Linked DNA regions of Struthio camelus. The protein of the gene in region 2 interacts with the protein of the main gene of each other region in a pairwise test. Links are inferred from orthologs where the notes say so. Each region holds a gene or a part of one and is shown on either strand. Other genes may lie near its edges.

What was found. The genes of interacting proteins can lie anywhere in the genome.
Region 1: the proteins of MTUS2 (region 2) and EHHADH interact in binary tests that used the Homo sapiens proteins (3 or more experiments, as listed by UniProt). The link is inferred for Struthio camelus from reciprocal best matches to the Homo sapiens genes MTUS2 and EHHADH.

The regions. Positions count from the first base shown.
Region 1 is NC_090950.1:5,246,626-5,250,368, forward strand, and holds the start of EHHADH (peroxisomal bifunctional enzyme), read left to right. Parts: upstream 1-1,355; 5' UTR 1,356-1,406; coding exon 1,407-1,480; intron 1,481-3,743. UniProt on the Homo sapiens protein: Peroxisomal trifunctional enzyme possessing 2-enoyl-CoA hydratase, 3-hydroxyacyl-CoA dehydrogenase, and delta 3, delta 2-enoyl-CoA isomerase activities. Catalyzes two of the four reactions of the long chain fatty acids peroxisomal beta-oxidation pathway.
Region 2 is NC_090942.1:200,186,147-200,189,889, reverse strand, and holds the start of MTUS2 (microtubule-associated tumor suppressor candidate 2), read left to right. Parts: upstream 1-1,125; 5' UTR 1,126-1,319; intron 1,320-3,743. UniProt on the Homo sapiens protein: Binds microtubules. Together with MAPRE1 may target the microtubule depolymerase KIF2C to the plus-end of microtubules. May regulate the dynamics of microtubules at their growing distal tip.

The DNA.
Region 1 (3,743 bases), on a different chromosome or scaffold from region 2:
AGCACCAACCCTTGTAACAGAAGTTTTCTATTTAAAAGCAAAGCACCTGTTGCATATCATAAAGCAACAATAATGTGCAGCATGCTTTCCAAACATATGTCAGCACAGGTATGGCAAAGGCTCTGGTTTATGTCAGCATCAGTTGAAATCAAACAACTGTGGCTGTCCTAATTGAGTGTGCATCTACACTGTGACCCTGCCAGGCGTTTAGACTGTGTTTTAGCATGCTATAAAAAATTGCTCTTACAAGACCCTTCATCATTTTCTGGCAATTGCCCCACAACTCAGGCTCTACTAGTTACCTATGTAGTGAAAGTCTGCAGATAAATTATGTCTTAGCAGCCTTTTTTGGTGACTGTAGCACTTCACAGTCTTGGCTCTGGGTCAAAGCCAGCTCAGTTCCCTATGCTCAGTGTTTATGAATCCAACATATGTCTTCTGGGGGCTCTGAATCTCCACAGTAATATAAGAAGGGGCCTGATTGCCAGGACATGAGACCTGCTGAGAGCGGGGTGCCCATCAAGGTGGAGGCGCTGCTTATCTCAATGGTGGCTGCACCTTCATACTCCTGTGAATTACCCTTCTACCGGGACTCCGGATGTGTAGGGACCCATCAGTGCCTTGTCCTTGCCCAACGCAAGGAAAGATGTTCAACAATATGCTTCTCTCCTAAGAGCCCGGGGGGATTTCTCTGTGCTGTGCTTGTACATGGGGTGAAATACATCACTTTGTGTGTATGCACAGTGCTGCTTTGTGATGAAACGGGGATTTATAGTTCAGCAGCTCTGTGCTATGTGTTTTCATACCTCCCGTGCTGAGGGAGGGAAAGTGTGCTCCTTCCAGAAGGCATGTTTGTATCTCACTATTGCGCTGAGGGACTATATATAAAAATAATGTGCAAAGAGACTGAGCATCCATAACTTGTTAGAAACCACTTCTTAACACTAATCACTGCATCTCTTTAGTCTCTGCTTCAGCAGATTCAGCGATTTGTTCCTCCAGACAGGGGAACGTATAGCCATTTCTCATTGATCTCTACCTCGAGAAAGGTCCGTAATTCATTGCCCTTAGCCTGCAGCAGCATGTGGCTCTCTAGGGTTTCTAACGGCAGCAAAAGGAAGACCAAGGATAAGATAACAGGGGCCTGCTGCTGAGTGAGGTGGGCAAACTAGCAATGAAGGCAGAGATGAGACCAGTGTCTTTGTGCACGTGGCCGTCTGTGGGAGCGGGACACACCGCGGCGGGGCAGGCACCGCCGGGGCCGCTCCTCGCCGGGGCCGCTCCTCGCCGGGGCTGCTCCTTGCCGGGGCCCCTCGCTCCCGGGCAGGGTGCCCAGGGCCGCCCCGGGGGCCGGGCCAGGCCGGGCCGGGTGGAGCGGAGCAGAGCAGAGCAGCTCAGTGCTCGCCATGGCACAGTACGTGAGGGGTGCCGCCGCCGTGGCCGTCATCCGCCTCCGAAACCCGCCGGTCAACGCGCTGAGGTAATGGCGGGGCAGGGCCGGGCGGGCTCCCCAGCAGCTGCCGGGGCGGCCCGGGGTCCTCCCCACCTTCCTCCATACCTTCCTGCGCTTTCCTTCCTTTTAACCTCGCTTTCTTCCACCCTTTCCCTACTGACCTGTTGTACAGCCCTTTCTACCGAGCCCAGCGCAAGCTGGTCCTTAACTACATCTGGCCGGGGAGCTCGCTGAAGGTGTTTGGGTTCCTGAGCAAATGCTATCAGCCTGGCTGACTCCCTCAGAAAACTGGCAGCTGCTTTTGAGCTTAAACTTCTCTTTGCAAAAAACATGCCCTGTTTTTCCGTGGCTTCTCTTCTCTTTATTGTAATTTCTATTGATTTATGCAGGAGAGATGTCAGGCTTACCAATGTGTGCTTTCTCTGGTGTCCCCTGGAATCCTTTTTAAAACTTAACACATTTCTCATCACCTGGCAGTCTTTAAGTATGAAGGTGATGCTTCCAGCAAGAAATTACACACCATCATTAGTAGTTGAGCTATTTCATCCCAGAGATCCTTCAGAGCTCCTGGGTGAAAACACCTGGTGCTTTAAGCTTTGTTACTGTTCAGTTTATTTCCCTGTTCCACGTGCTCAGAAGTGCTTGCGCAGCGATTGCAGGCAGGCTGGTGTCTGCACTTCCAAGTGAACACAAGGGTTGAGGCAAAGGACTTTGTAAACAGGCAACGTGGCTGAGCAAGAGGAGCGAGAGCCCCTGGCTGACTGGGCTGCCGTTCAAGGTACGGCAGGAGGTACACGGCCAGAAGTGAGGATGGATTAGTCCACAGTGAGGGCTGTCACACTAGACAGGTAATTTGCTTTTTAAAAATAGTTAAGGAATTGACCTCTAAATGGTGCTCTTGGTCAAGAAAGTCCCCAAGCAATCTCAAATGCAAGCCAGAGAAAAACATAGTCCAACACAGGCCAGAGAAAAACAAACACAAATGTATAGTAGCATCTGAAAGTGTAGTTTCTCATGTGTTTGAAAAGGACATATATGTTATTCTTCTTTAAATAATTTGGTCTAAGGTTTGTGTATTTTTCAGTTCATTTAGCTCTAAGCAGCACACAGACCCTTTGCAAGCAGCTGTGGTTGAGCCGTGTTGTAACAGGCCCCACGGTGTATGCTGATGCTTTTGCAGGAGCCAGAAAATCCACTGAAGTTATGCTCAACTTCTGTACCAGCACACCTGTTAAAAAGAAGCTGAGAGAGACAAGTAAGAGCACGAACAGGAGATACCAGCTGCTGCCACAAGCCATAGCAAGCTGCATTGTTCTGCAATAGCTGCCAATGCTTGCTCTTCTTTTGCAACACGTCTGAAAGAGGAGTAAGATAATTTTCCTGTCCCCTGATAATTATCATGAGAAAACAAACTTGGAGTAACTTAATGAGATTAGATGAACTAGACTTGTAAGGCTCCCAGAAGTGCCAGGTGCAAAGTGTCCCTTGGACCAGCTTGTGCCTAAAAGCTAGGAAAACTAGCTTGACTAGGCTAGGAAAACTTCCAAGCTGTTCCCACAGTGAACTTTTCATCCTTACCATGAAAAGTTCAAACTACAGAACTAAACATAAGCGCTCAGGCATCCTTAACTGTCTCTTTTGAGCAGTCTGTGATAAAACCTAAAGTGCTCTCTTTGCCTTCGAGCACCAGCAGCATGCATCTGCATAACAGCCTCTTAAATACATCTCCCTGCCTCTGTTTCCATTTGCCAAGCTCTTCCTCCTTCCGCCTGCACAGGGCACAGCTCCATGACACTGCAGGCCAAAGTGGGTATGGTCTTGGTCCTGCTCTTTTCCCCTGCCACAGGAGGGAGAAGCTACTTTAGAGCCATTTAAAAGGCCGTTTCCAACGAATGCTGCATCATCACTGCCACCATAGCTATTTTGTGCTGCCCGCACTCTTCTGTTGGCCGACAGCCCCACGGCAAGAGGGCCCTGACAGGCCTGTGTATTTTTCCAGAGTAGACTCGTTCCCTAATGTTGAGCTCCATAGCACCATAACGCAACTTAAGCTGGGGCTGCATCATCCTGGCCATGGTTTCTCGCAGCCTCCGCTGTGCTAGCAGGGACTACGTAGTGAGCCAGTTCGGGGAGATAATGTGCCTAAACACTAGCCTGCTTATTTGCTTTTGCCTTTCCCTCAGTCCAGCTCCGTGTGTCAGCACCCTGTGCTGTTGCACGCATAGCAGTGCAGGCGTGAGGGACAGAGTGGGAAAGGACTAGAAGCTGCAGAGCGTGAATTTAGATCAGG
Region 2 (3,743 bases):
GTAATTATCAAGAAAATGGTCAAAGAGATACAAACAGAAATGTCTTATAAATGCATTCGTTTTTAAATGTTCACTAAGTATTATATGTATACGTATTATTTAAATTAATCTGTATCTTGGTGTGTGTGTCTCATGTTACAGGTTCCTTTGGGGGAATGATGCTCTATTTCTGCTTTGTACAGCACAAAGCATCCCATTCTGCTTAAATAAATACTACAGAATCACACAGAATCACAAAACAGTTGAGGTTGGAAGGGACCTCTGGAGATCATCTAGTCCAACCTCCCTGCTCCAGCAGGCTCCTCTAGAGCGTATTGCCCAGGATCACATCCAGACGGGTTTTGAATATCTCCAGCGAAGGAGACTCCACTACCTCTCTGGGCAACCTGCGCCAGCGCTCTGTCACCCTCACAGGAAAGAAGTTTTTCCTCATGTTCAGATGGAACTGCCTGTGGTTCAGTTTCTGCCCGTTGCCTCTTGTCCTGTCTCTGGGCACCTCGGAGAAGAGCCTGGCTGCATCCTCTCGACATCCCCCCCTTTAGATACTTGTACACATTAATTAGATCCCCCCCTAAGTCTTCTCTTCTCCAGGTTGGAAAGTCCCAGCTCTCTCAGCCTTTCCTCATAAGAGAGCTGCTCCGTTTCCTTCATCATCTGAGCAGCCCTTGGCTGCACTCGCTCTGGCAGCTCTGTGCTCCTCTGCGTGCTTGCACGCCTCGTCTGGTGTGCCGTTAGCCCACCCAGTCAAGCATGCCTTCAGGGATTCATCTGCTCGTGCGGACAGAGTGGCAGCGTGCGCACATGACATGTTTTTCCCTGTCAGGTGCTCACCTCGGCTCTCCCGTGGTCACCGTTTCACTCAGTCTCCTAGTGTTGCGGCTTTCCTAAATTTCTAAGCACTTTACGGAAGCAGGAAAAAACAAACCAAAGCAAAGCAATGTCTGAGAAGCGGAGTTTTCCCGCAGCGTCGCCCTCGGCGGAGGGCATGCGGCGCCGGAGCCGAGGGCCGGGGGGGTGCCCGAGCGACCACCCCCGGGGGCGGCCGCGCAGGCCCCGCCGCCGCGCAGCTCCCGCGCGGTCCGGCAGGGGGCGCTGCGGCTCGGCCCGCGGCGGCGGGAGGTGGGCGCGGGCGGCGGCGGGCGCTGCGCGGCGGCTGCGCCCCGCGCCGCTATATAACACCCGCCCGCAGCCCCGCGCTGCTGCCGCTGCCGCCGTTGCGCAGCGCGGGCGTCTGCTGCAGCCTTTGTCCGCGGACGGACGCGGGAGGAGGGAGCAGCAGCAGCAGCAGCAGCAGCAGCAGCGGCGCGGAGCCGAGCCAGGTGAGCGCCGTGCACCGCCGTCCCCCGTGCAGCCGCAGCGCCCCGCTCCGCTGCCCTGCCGTCCGGGGTGCCCCGCGCCTCCAGCCCGCAGCGCCCGGAGCTCTTCTTCCTCCTCGCCCTGCGCGGGCGGGGCGCTGACCCCGGTTTGGGGTTGCTGTCCCCTCGGGAAAGCCCTGCCGCAGCCCGGGGCGCTGCTGCGGCCCGGCCCCGGGCGGTGCTGGGGGGAGCCGGGCACAGGCGCGGCCCCGGGGGTCGCTCCGGTATGCGGGCGTCTGTGCCCGGTGCTGCCTTCTGCGTGGGAAGCACCGCGCAGGGAAATTGGCGGAAAGTACTTTGAAACGCAGGCTGCTCTGGCTGCACCGCTTGGAAATGCTAATGCTGAAAGCAAGGAAGGTTTGTGGGCTGCTGGTCGTTGCTACCGGTGGTGAGGGCATGTGTTGAGATGGTAAAATAATAGTGTGAAACCTACTTATTAAAATGCTCTCATATATATATTATCAAATCTATTTGGCCAAAAGTTCTGAGGAAAGTAATAAGTGGAATGGCTGGTGTAGGCATTGCTCTCTGTGCAGCATCAGGTAGAGACTGGTAAGGAGCTGGGTGCTGGAGTGGGCTGGGGACCTCTGGCTTGGGCTGTGCACTCTCCAGTTGATGAAAGTGGAGAGCTCAGTGCAAGTATTGAGTTTACAGCACTCAGCTGGCCTAGAGTGCTAAAACTGCAGTTAAACTCTGCCCCTTTCATGGAGTTAAATAGCACTTCATTGTTCTTTCTTAAGAATGATGAAAGATAACAAAGCAGCTACTGTAAATTATGAACTGGCATATAACTTCAGTAGGAAAGGAAAGAACAAACCCATGGAAGATAGGACAGTGGGCACAGGTCTCCCTACTCAGATAAAACACCCCTGCTTGAAAAGCTGTTCATCTAGATTGGTAGTTTCCAACCCTTTTTAGGTGGATCTCAGAGCCTTTAATACTTTCCTGCCTCTTGATCTCTCCTACTTTTGCTTCTGCTTCTTCCTCCTTCCCTGGTTGATGTCTCCTCCTGGAGGCAGCAACAGCATGGGGGTGCTCTGTGCCTGCCCCCTCCAGGTCAGCATGTGTTCCCAAAGGGCACCTGGGTTGGGCAGCCAGCAATTCTGGATCACTCCAAACATGAAAAGGGCAAGCCAGCAAGACCCTTGCCATTTATTACTGTATTAAAAACTTTGAAGAACAAAAAAAATTCTCAGCAAGCCAAGCATTAGAAATACTTACTGATACTAAAGTAGCAGTAGCAAATAATTAAATGTCAAGTGTTGGCATACAGGTTATTAGTTTGCAATGGATGACTGCATTAGAGATGTACTTGGCAGCCAACTGAACTGGTTATAACATAATGCATAAATGCCTTGTTTTCATTTGTAATATCATATGGAAATTGTTTTATGCTCTTTTCACTATGTAGTGTTTATGGGTTTTATTTTCTCACCCCCAACTTGAAGCAGGGGTGTGGCTTTTCTGTATCTCCTCCTGCATAAGCTTTACTAGACTGTCCTTTTGCATTGCAATTAAATATACCTCACTACTTGTCTCCTTCCATCTCTGCAGTCTGGTAAGGAGAGCAGTACAGTCTGTGGTGCAGGAGAGTGGTAGCACTAAGCTATGTGCATGAAGACAGGGCTTCATTTCTCACTTTTTTGCTTTATCTTGTGACCCTACAGAATCAATGTGCAAAAGCTGGTTCTGTAAGTGATTCTTTGAATGATCCATTCTCAGAGTTTGGAAGTCTCTACCTGAGACCAGGAGGGTGAGAAAGGATTTGCAAGGCTTGAGCTCATGTGGTTTGTATGAAGTAGTTTTTGACATGCTATCACTTATTTTCTGTATATTCATCTCTTCAGGGACAGAAGTAGAGATTTGGTGACTAATCTAGATTTATTTCAGATGTTGAAAATGACAGATGTAGGTTTGGGTCAGATACAAAGCTAGCTTACCTTTACAACAAGGCTTCTAATATAGCAAAGTTTTTTTTTGTAGGATGTTATCTATTGTATTAGTGATTGTAATACACATGAAGATAGCTTAAGCCTCTTGGCCTAAATATATCTGAAGTATATTTCTATACAAAACACATCTATAGTATGGTAAGCAGTACTTGATATTTAGCAGTATAGTGGAGAGAGGAGAGCTTGCAACACTTCTGCTGTATTTAACCTGACACAGAAGTGCAATTCTCCAGGTTCTGTAAAGCACAACAGCACATCATAGGCTGTACAGGAGATACACTACTCAGTGAGTAGTAGTCTTCTGGCATTTTAAAAGTTTAGAAGCCAAAAATTTGGATTTTTTATTGTACATTTATTAATTTGTAAGTTAATGGAGGTTACATCAGAAATCATCACAGGACAGAATTGCAAGGTCTGAAATGTTGACTCTAACAAA